Linked DNA regions of Schizosaccharomyces pombe. The protein of the gene in region 1 interacts with the protein of each later gene in a biochemical or structural test. Each region holds a gene or a part of one and is shown on either strand. Other genes may lie near its edges.

What was found.
Region 2: of the proteins of pat1 (region 1) and mei2, one has a biochemical effect on the other in vitro, tested with the Schizosaccharomyces pombe proteins (one study listed by BioGRID).
Region 3: of the proteins of pat1 (region 1) and ste11, one has a biochemical effect on the other in vitro, tested with the Schizosaccharomyces pombe proteins (one study listed by BioGRID).

What each region holds. Positions count from the first base shown.
Region 1 is NC_003423.3:1,681,175-1,684,774, forward strand, and holds pat1 (serine/threonine protein kinase Ran1/Pat1), read left to right. Parts: upstream 1-1,686; coding exon 1,687-3,099; 3' UTR 3,100-3,381; downstream 3,382-3,600. UniProt on the Schizosaccharomyces pombe protein: This protein is a negative regulator of both sexual conjugation and meiosis. It phosphorylates mei2. It blocks the onset of meiosis until conjugation takes place.
Region 2 is NC_003424.3:4,512,787-4,516,621, reverse strand, and holds the start of mei2 (RNA-binding protein Mei2), read left to right. Parts: upstream 1-1,596; 5' UTR 1,597-3,329; coding exon 3,330-3,835. UniProt on the Schizosaccharomyces pombe protein: Crucial for commitment to meiosis but it is not sufficient itself for the commitment. May be a splicing regulator.
Region 3 is NC_003423.3:3,981,692-3,985,526, forward strand, and holds the start of ste11 (DNA-binding transcription factor Ste11), read left to right. Parts: upstream 1-1,684; 5' UTR 1,685-3,835. UniProt on the Schizosaccharomyces pombe protein: Key transcription factor for sexual development. Activates the transcription of the matp, matm, mei2, mfm, ste6 and rgs1 genes. Binds specifically to a DNA fragment carrying a 10-base motif 5'-TTCTTTGTTY-3'.

The DNA.
Region 1 (3,600 bases):
AATTTCGATTTCAGCTTTCATATCCCCTGGTCATTAACGCGATTACTCTTACTCAGGTTGTTCGGCTGTCTACTGTGTTAAAGCAATAAAGAAAACACTACTTTTATCTGATTAGAAATCGAACCAAAATTAAAAAATTTATCTTTTATTCATTCTACACAAGTTTGGATTGTATTCTTATTTTTTTTATTTTATTTTTTTTTTAATTAAAAACTTCGAAATTCTATAAACAAACGTTGAATTGTCGAATTTGGATTTTATTTTTTCTTTAACCACCATTTTTTATTCTTACTAATATCCTCCCTTCCACCATCCTCGTTTTCTTTTACATTTGTTTTCCCTTCTTCCTCTTGGATTCTTATCATCTCCCGTGTCTAAAAGTTTCCATCTTACTCGTTTTTCTAACAAAGAAATCACTATTTCTCATCGCGACGAGCATTAGTCATATTTGAGTCGCGTTTCCTTTTCCTCTTTTTTAATTTATTATTTTTTTTTTGTTTTATTTATTTATTCTTTTTCACTTTCGTCTTTGGTTCTTGTTCGCGTCTGCTTTTCCTTTCTTTGTTCTTTCCCCTAGCCTCTTCGATTAGAGATAGATACTTCTTTCCATATCCAAACTTACTACTTCTCTGCTTTTCCCCAATGTAAATGGGAATTACCCTGAACGATTTCTTGTAAATTCCTTTGTGCTTGATGAAAATACTTTTCAAGAATTCTCTTCTCTCGGCTTTTCTTAATTACTCGATTTTTTCATTTTACATTCACAAATCCATATTGCTGTGCATACTTATTGACATTAGGTGAACTCATCTCTTTTTTCCCCAGTCCAACTCTTCCACCTAAGTCTATTGACTTACTCGCAAGCGTTGATTGTCGATTGTGTTTCCTTCTCATCCCCTCTCTTCTTTTTAAACCGAACATTCTATTCTCATTTTTACCTCAATTTGGAAAGGATATACTACTAGGTAAAAATTAATTCTACTTTTCTCCCCCATCTTTAACCGACTACTGACCTGTACATTTTCCCGATTTCTCTTACTGTTCCTTTGGAAAATCGTTGTGTGTCTTGTTTGTACGTTGATCTTTAGAGTTTCCTTTGATTATCTTGAGCATTCTTACTTTTTATTCCCTGCTTAAAATACTAATCATCATTTTTCCCGGTTTTTTATTCACATTCCCTTCTCACTTCCATTCGTTGTACTCAAAAGGACCTGTGCTTTTTAATCATAAACATTATATATTATTCGTTTTAACTCTTCCTTCCACAATTGCATTTCCCCTTTTCTTTATTAATTTTGTTTCTTGCATGTTGGTCGTTTTCTCTGTGATTGGCGTATTCGATTCTCTTTTTCATTCTTCGTTGTCGTATTTTTTACCTGCTTACAATTGAAAAAAAAATTTTTTTCTTGTAAATTCCCTTATATTATTAAACCTCAAACGATCAAGATAAAACCTATCATTGTGTTATTGACTATTTTCCTGTTTATAACGATCTTTGTTTTTTTTATCATTGATTTTAGAAGACATTAGAAAATCTAACCTTTCTCAAAGTTTTTTTTTTGTTTCGGTTGCAAAGTTCTTTAAGCTATTCAAAACTTTATCATCCGAAATACTTATTTTCTATTTTCTTATCTAATTTTCGCCATCAATTGGGACTTTATTTAATTTATCTTTACTAAACATTAGATGATGCGCGAAAATCCAGAACTCCTTTTGGGTCAGGTCTTGGGTGATTCTTTACGATTTGTTTCTATCATCGGTGCCGGTGCTTATGGTGTCGTGTACAAAGCAGAAGACATTTACGACGGTACCTTGTATGCAGTAAAGGCTTTATGTAAGGATGGCTTAAATGAAAAGCAGAAGAAGTTACAAGCTCGCGAACTTGCCTTACATGCTCGTGTTTCTTCACATCCTTATATTATTACATTGCACCGCGTGTTAGAAACGGAAGACGCCATTTATGTCGTTCTCCAGTATTGTCCGAATGGCGACCTTTTTACTTACATCACGGAGAAAAAGGTATATCAAGGGAATAGTCATTTAATTAAAACCGTTTTTTTACAGCTTATTTCTGCTGTTGAACATTGTCACTCAGTTGGCATATATCATCGAGATCTTAAACCCGAAAACATTATGGTTGGAAATGATGTAAACACCGTATACTTAGCTGATTTTGGTCTGGCTACTACAGAACCCTATTCAAGTGACTTTGGATGTGGTAGTCTGTTTTACATGTCTCCAGAATGTCAACGGGAGGTGAAAAAACTTAGTTCGCTGTCAGATATGCTACCGGTAACTCCTGAACCTATAGAATCACAATCATCCAGCTTTGCTACAGCGCCAAATGACGTCTGGGCTCTGGGAATTATATTAATTAATCTGTGTTGTAAGAGGAACCCTTGGAAGCGTGCATGTTCTCAAACTGATGGTACTTACCGTTCCTACGTTCACAATCCATCAACCCTTTTATCCATTTTACCCATCAGTAGAGAGCTCAATTCTCTACTCAATCGAATTTTTGATAGGAATCCCAAAACCCGAATCACATTACCCGAACTTTCCACGCTAGTATCAAACTGTAAGAACCTTACACGACGTTTACGACCTGCTCCCCTTGTTTCATCTCGTTATCTCGCATACCAACAACAACAACAACAGCAACAAATGAATTTGCAACAAGGAATTCAAGGTTACCCTCATCAAGGCTATATGCCGACTCAAAACATTGGCTTTCCCTGGCCTCCGACTCCCCAGTTTGTAAGTAATTGGAATCATTGTGCTACTCCAACGATCCCTGTCTCCTTACAAGTCCTTACACCAAATTCTTCACTTAAAGTAGATCCGACTACACCTCTTACAGCACCTATTCATGCAACCGAATCATTCTGGCCTTCTGCCGCAGCGGCGGCAGCAGCTGTCCATAACAATGCTAACTCATATATGCCTATTACACCCACACCCTATCCGAATAATGCAAAAATTTTCGGTTATCCTAATCAACCTCCGCTGACTCCCATACCTTTTACTGGATTCGTTTTGCATCCTGCACCAGTTGGTCGTGCTGCTGATGCCGTAGATCCATCTCGAAAATCGCTCTAAAGTTACTTGCTTCTTTTTTATATTCGCTACCGCACGTTGTTTTGTTCAGGGTTACTGCAAAACATTATAGAGGGCTTTGACTGCCCCAATAATTATTTCTCGGGATTTGAATTTTAACATTGTGTAAATAGCTAACATTTTATGCACTTGTTTTATACTTATATTTCTTCTTTTTTATATGTTTATTATGATGGTAGCATTATCTTTTTCTGTTAACAACATTGATGAATTTTTTTTGCTTGTGGTTTGTTCTTTAAAACAAAAATTTTTTTATAAATATATACTTAAAAAAAAAAAAAAGAAAAGGTAGACGAATGGATCGTTTTAACGACGGTTGTAATAGTAAATTTAAAGAGTTTAGAGCATGAAGCATGCAGTCATATTGTATCACCGCTATACTCGAAATGTTGAAGAGATAAAGCAAACTAAGCTTTTGGAATACGAAGATAGAAGGATATTATTCATAACTTGTAATAATATTGTTAAAAGTTAAAATATTAA
Region 2 (3,835 bases), on another chromosome or scaffold:
TCCTCAAATTCTCAATTGACATTTGTTGGTGATATAAACAACCATAGAGATAGAAGCGGTTTCTCAGGCCTTCATTTTTTTTAAACCTCAAAATTTAACTTTTGAACAATTCGTCACGTACATCAAACATCATAAACGTTTACGAAACGCATTGTCCCAAAAATAGTAAACTGGCTAAGCAATAAAACAAAAAATACACATATGTTTCTTATAAGACCTTTAATAAGAAAGCCAAAAAATATTTACTCAGCAAAGCTTTAATCTAACCATTGTTCACTGACTCTCGCTTTACTGAAGCAACATCGCTAATGATCATTTTACGTTTAAAAAAAAATAGAGTGTATACGAAAGCAAAACAAAACAAACAAAACAGAACAAAACAAAAATAATGTAAACCCAAAGTATAATCAAAAACCATCATCAGCCTTAAAATCTCTTATACATGCATACAAATCTTTTGGAATAGAATAAATATATCGCTTTTACTCTTTTTTTGTTCTGAATTCCCAACCTCTTTTTAATTGCCAAAAGTTATTAATGCTTCCTTCTTACTTGTCTTCGAGCACTTCTACAACCGTGGTACACACATATTTACCGATTTATACGTGATACATTAAAATCGAATGCGGCGTTTACTAATGTTTATAAACAAAAACGTGAGGTTGTCTACATTTACCTTCTCCACTTTTGCGCATAAAGCATTGTTTTCAAATCACTCAATAAATGCGATCTAGTTTGATCGTTGGCTAATTGGATTTCAGTGGGGAATTTTAATTGCCGAACAGCTTTATAGTTTATGTGAAAAGAAAAGAAAGTGAGCAAGTTGCTAATATTAAATGATGTAGTTATCTTTCATGCCAGAGAACAATCTGGATGTCAAACGACCTCTGTGTAAAACGCGCAAATATAGGAGACGCATGCGCTGAATAAGGGTTGAAAGAAGAAACACTGTTAAAAGAGGGTTTTGCATTGGCGAAAAAAGATGTATGGAAAAAAGCACGCGTAAATAACAAAAGAAATCCTTACCGAATTATACAGCAAGGTGGAGATTACTACACTAATGAAGGCAAATAAAAAATGTGATTTCTTTGACTTGTCCATGTTTTTCGGGATGGATACAACGTTGTTTTTTATCTATCATCTTTTTCAAACTTTCAAAAGGACTAACTTACCTTTACAAGCTATACACTAATTACCACTGATTTGAATAAATAGCCTTTTGCTTCAGTAGACAAAGCAAACACCATAAAAGAAAATGCATTTAGCGTTTCTCGCTATTTACTCTATCTAACGCGAGTCGCGTTGGCTTTCAATCTGTCCAAATTGGATCAGTTGTCCCGCTTTTTATGGGATTTTTTTTCCATTATCGTCCTCTTATATTAGAGCTTACTGACATCGCATCATAACTTTAGATAGAGTAACGAAAGCCGACCGATTTCTTTGTTCCTATTTTAAAGTTTCTTTGTTTTACAAACCCTTCTCGAGCTAGCCCCTCAGGGGCATTGCAAAAACGTTCACAGTAAATGCCTAACAGTAAAGGCTACTGAAATTTTCATCGTAGGTCTATAAATTTCGTTGATTCCCTTTGTTTTCAACGCTTTGTTTTCGCCACTGAAAGCTGCTGTTGAGATTCTTTGTTTACTTGGCTTACTTCGTTTCTTTGTTACTCTTCCCACTTTGTGTTACACGGGACAAAGGCAGGGGTAGCATAAACAGTACGTCCCATTCAATCAAGCATTCTCCCAGTAATTGTCGTAATATTTGCGAGCAAATAAAGTCCTTTTTGACTTTGTGATTTCTTTGAAATAACTTCTTTGTTCTCTAATTACTGTATCTCATTATAAAGCATCCAAGCCCTCTCATTATTCCCAACATACAATCCATCCTTCCTCCAGCAATCCGGCCGGACAGATTGTTGTAATTATCTTTACAGAACTATTTTGGGCTGGCTTTTTGATTTGTACTGAAAAGCATCGCATTGCATTGCATCGTTTTTGTTTTGTTTCGCTGCTGCCATTTAGGCTGTCGTATATTTTGTTTGTCTGAAACTTAACGTTCCTTTGTAATAGAGAAAGCAAAAAATATATACCCCATTTTAAAAAAGGAAAGGGAAATTGCTTTTTTTTTTTTTTTTTTTTTTTTTACACCTCTAGTTAGTTGAAAAACCATATGGAAAAAACTTAAGTTTTTATACATCGTGCATTTACTTCTTTTCCATTACTCCATCCTTGCCAATTGTTTCTCTTACCGTTCGCATTTTCCATCTTAATAGGACACACAGCTGCCATCATCCGCGCCAATAAACCTATCGACCGTAACAAAACATTGATACGTTTATTTATCTAATTCATTTCTTTCCTTCTTAAAATCCCCACCCGCATCTTTGTTACCTTTGAACGCAGTTGCTACTTCTCTTTTCTTTGTTTGTTTGTTTATTAATTACTTGTGCCCACTCCGAGACCAACCATCGCTTTCCCATTCCTTGTTGAAAATAGCCCATAGTAGGCATTCGCAAAGAAAGTTCAAATTATATCTTTTACCACATTATCTACATTTTCTGGCTGTATTCTTGAATCCTCATTTTGATCTTTACCAATTTTTCTTGAATCGTTATTGTCATTCCCTGATATCTTTTTCTCTTCTTTGTCCTAGAATCGATTCCTTTCTTCCCCTTTTTTCGTGTGCTTCACTTTTTAATTCCTTTTTTTGCAACCTAACTGATACGTATATATACATTTATATATATACGATTCCAATCCATTTTCTCTTCATATACGCATATACATTTTTTCTTGTATATATGTGTAAAGTTTCTAATCGATTATTTTAAATTTTTACTTGCGCTTTTCTTCTGTGGTGACAATATCCCATCTTTTTCTTTTTTTTTTAAAAAAATTAAAGGGTAGTTTCCTAGTTTTATCCCGAAAATTTCTCCTCCTCTAACGTTTGTTATTCTTTTGTTAATTTTATGAAAGACAAGTTTGTTTGTTCAAATCTTGGTTGTTATTCTTTTCGTTTGATTATATACATTTGAACGACAATTGTGATTTATTGTTGATTTTTTCTTTTCATTTCATTATTCTTTTGTTCTTTTGCATTTTCTCATCGTTTGTTTGATTTACTAACAACCATCTAACCCCTTCCTTTCTTTTCAACTTTCTGGTCTTTTAAAGTTTGTATTAACTTAATCCTTTGCAGTTCCTTTCTCTCCCTTTCTTACCACTTCTAAACAAAGTTTTATAAGTTATTAGTCATTAAGTAATTTTTTTTACTCTTTATCTATTTTAAGGATTATCGGCCAGCTTTATTGTTGCCGTTTTAACACATAAATGATTATGGAAACCGAATCACCTTTATCAATCACCTCCCCTTCTCCATCTGATTCAACTTTTCAAGTTGATATGGAGAAAACAATGCATGCTTTGCCCTCAAGTCTTCTTGACTCACCATTACTCTCTACTAACGAGCATTACCCTCCCAAGAGTACTTTACTTTTGAGTGGTCCTTCACCCATCAGAAATATTCAACTATCTGCTACCAAATCTAGTGAATCAAACTCAATTGATTATCTTACGGATACTCAAAATATCTTCCCCAACTTTGTTAATAACGAAAACAACTATCAGTTTTCAACCGCTCCTTTAAATCCTATTGATGCTTGTCGAGTTGGTGAACGGAAAGTATTCACTACAGGTAATGTTTTATTGTCAGCTGATCGACAACCTCTTAGTACATGGCAACAAAACATTTCTGTTCTCTCAGAATCCCCTCCGCAAAATGGCATTCAAAGTTACATTTCAAGTTCTGAGCAAGCAGCTCAGGCACTAACTCGTAA
Region 3 (3,835 bases), 2.3 Mb from region 1:
GTCAACAATGATAAGCACAGTTGGCTAGCAGAGTCCAGTTCCAAAAGGATGCAATTTTGGTGATATGTAAGAAAACATTCCACAATACAATTTGTGAAGTTTTTAGCTATAAATTTATCGGTTTAGGTTATTTTCAAAGTATAGTCGTTTTCAAAAAATTATATTCGTTTTCAAATTAAATTCGTTATCGTTCAGTAGTAACCTTTTTCATTCAAAACTCGTCTTCATCTATAACTAATCTACATCTTCATCTTCATCTTTACCTCTACTTTCTCCCATCTCTCCTTCCTATCGTCTCCTTCCTCTCTGCATCTTGCCGGCCGCCATTTTCTGACTCGGCGGGTCATCCACCTTTTAAGCTCAACCTTGTTTTGCTGGTCGCTCGCTCAATTCTTACAAAAGCCCAGGTTAATAGTGCGATTGGGTGATATGCAATGGAAATTAGCGCATATCTCAAGTTGTACGCACACATACGCTAATCTGGCGGCAATTCCTATTTTCTATTACATTGCATAAGTCAAAGCTACTTTGCACAAATTCAAGTAGCATTCATTTCCTTCTCTAAAATAATGTCTAGTCTTTGGACTTTTATCGTTTTCAATGGTTTTATTTCTTTTTTCCATTCCATTTATTTTTTTTTTGAAATTTTCACCTTTCTCAATTTATTCGTCGTTCTTTTTTTAATATAATAAGATTATACTTTTACAGCATACATTGTGTCTCACATAGTCTCTTCCATCGCGTTTCCCATTTTATGATCTTGCTAAAAAAATGTCATTCTTATGCAAATCACCCTGTACTACCACAGCACTTACCTTTCCGACATTCTTGTTCTCCATCTTACATGTCTATCACTGTAGCGATAGATTATTTGTGGTGCATGCCATCTCCAGGGATGATGGAAGGGAAACACAAGCACCCACGCCTAATTTTCGGTAAATTGTAGCAAAATTCCAATGGCAATGACTCGATAGAATCATTGTATGTGTGTGGTTTCTTTCCTTCCGCTCGTAGTACCTGTATTTTTCATCATGACTCCAAGTCTTCGCCATTCTTATTTCACTCCCGTTCCGTTCACCCCAAACTACTTCCTCATCACTTGCTTACTACTCAAACTGCCGGCACTTGTTTTCACACATTCGCTATGCTTTTTTATTCTTTTAACATTTGCTTAAACCTTACCTATAATACCCTGCGGTTTCGCAAATTGCCGCTCTTCAAATGCCCGCTTACTCTATTTTGCTTTCTCCACCCCTCCTTAACTCTCCAACTTCCCCAGCGTTCTACAATTCCTCATTCATTGGAAGACTAGTCGTTGGCTTCTTGTCATTTTGCCTTGCGCTATCTCCCTCAACGAAAAGTAGCTTTGCGAGACTTTTTGCCAAGTGCCACACTAATCTTTTGTACAGGGGGGAATCCCTGACTTTGTTTGCTGTGTTACATCGTTTGTAGGCAAGTAAAAGTGACAAATGCTTTCGCATCATATGTTACTTTAACCCCTGTGAATTTTGTCCCTTCCCCTCATACACATTTTGGCTAGACTTAAAAAAGTTGAATTTCTTTGTTTGATTTTCATTGTCAGTAACATCGCGTATTACGCCTCGCTCTATACTCTTACTAGTTGGTTGCCAATGCGTATGTATATATATATATATATACATACATACCTGGTGACTTACATAGTGAGAATCTATTCATTTAGCATATATTAAAAGGATATCCAGCGTTGAATTGTTTCGCGTCGTATATTGGATTTTCTTTATTATCAAATAAACAAAGCATTATTAGCATTCTGACTTTTCAATCTTAAACCTGATTGTGAATGCTAAAAGAAAGTATTTCATTTGATTAGTTTGCATTTTATTTTTCTTTGAGAGCTTTTGCCTCGTTTTTTTGTTTTCTCTTTGTTTTCTTTTTTTTTTTTACTCAACTTAACTTAACTTTTCTGGTCTTTGTCTTGATTGCAGCTTGTCGTCTTTGAATTAGCTTGCCTCCTCCCATTCTTTCCTGTCTATTCGTGTTAAGTCTATTCCTTTATCTTGGTTTGCTTTGGCTTAGCTCTATTCTTTTCTTTGTTTTGACTTTACTTTGACTTATTTTCACTGACTATTTCTAAGTTTAATTTGTTGATTAATTTTTATTCACATCTCTTCTTTTCTTTATAGTAAACAGACTTAAACTTTTTTTTCTTCTTCTATTCTGTTTCTTCATTTTGTTGGTCCAATTGGCTTCGCTTCTCTCTTCAAACTTTTCTCGTTTTTCTTGCCTCTACGTTCTTTTGGGATCCTCCTCTGTTGGAATTGTTAATTGAGAAGTGTTGGAATAATTTTTTCGTTTCTTGAAATCAAAAGGATTTTATCTTTTTTTTTAATTTTTACGTCGATTCCCTTACTGTACGTCGAATCCCCCCCTTTTTTTTATTTTTTTTCTACGTCAAAATTTTTTTATATATTTCTTTGTCTCTACCACCATAGTTATCCTTTATCAACTTTCTCTCTACTAATTAACTAAGTTGTTTCTTTGTTGCAATTTTTGCCCAACTTTAAATTTTTTTTATTCGCATCGTTATTCTATCGCTTGGCTGCTTATCCTTGATATCTGATCTATTAGATTTTCATTCCTCATTTTATTTTAATATCCTTTTTTTAACGTGTTTCTTTTGTGATTCCATTAGTACACACCATTCAGAATTAAGTTGCATTCACCATCGGTCTTTGTTGGCTCATGTTATAACATTATTTCTCCCCTGTCATTGTCGCATTATTCACGTATTCATTGGTATTCCTCACTTTATTTGTATACCCAAAGTTTCACCATCTTACAGAGCTCAACCATTCTTCAGTTATCGGTGTCTCTGAAATTTCTCCCTTGTTACGCCTTTTTATTTGACTCACTTTTCCGTTATTTAGTCTTCCGTTTCGTCTGTTTTTCCTGTTAACTATTCCGCTCTTTCTTGTTTTTAGTTTTTCCTCCGTTTTATATAGAGAAAAAAAAGCCTTAGAGGCTCGTGATTTTGTTCTCGTTTTCAAATCTCCTCAACTTAAAATTAGGCTTATAAGAAAATCACTTTTAAAGCTTCAATTTTTTTCTTGTGGCCTTCTATTATATATCACTTTCACTCCTTCTTCCACTTGGACCTCTACTAATTGTCTCTTTCAAGTTATCCTTGATTCAATCGCCTTTACGAAAAATATCCTTCATCATTCCAACTCGATCTAGTAACTTTTCAGTCTCAACTTTCATCTTTTTTTTTCTACGCTTCTTTACATTTTTCAAATCGGCTTTGAGTGTTGCTTCTGTTTTTTTCTTCTTGAGCTGGAAATTCCATTAGTTTCATTTATTATTTCATTACCTTACTTTTTTCGTTTAGGAAAAACCTGGCATCAAATATACTTTTGTCACTTTTTTCTTTTTTTTAGTCCAGTCAGTCTCTATTCATTAAGCTTGAACTTGATTTCTTTGGCGAACAAGCTTGTTTAATATCTAGATTGACGGAAATTTTATTTTCATTTATTTGTTGATACATACAAGGGAATTTTACTTTTACTATATTCATCTGTTACTTCACTGTGAATAATTTGTTCATTTTTCATTCTTGTTAGTTTGAGATTTCTTTCTATCTTAATACCATTTTTCTTTTTTTAAATAGAAAAAAATCCTTCACACCAGTTTTTATTCGGTGTTTATTTCTTTACTGTTTTCTGATCTCATCCCCTCTCCCTCGGTTTGTGCTGTTCGCTTCTTTTCTACTTCGTTCTTTCTGACTGCGAACTTCATTTATGTTTGCTTTGTTCTTACTGAATCATCTTTCTAATTAATTCTAAGAACCGTTTCA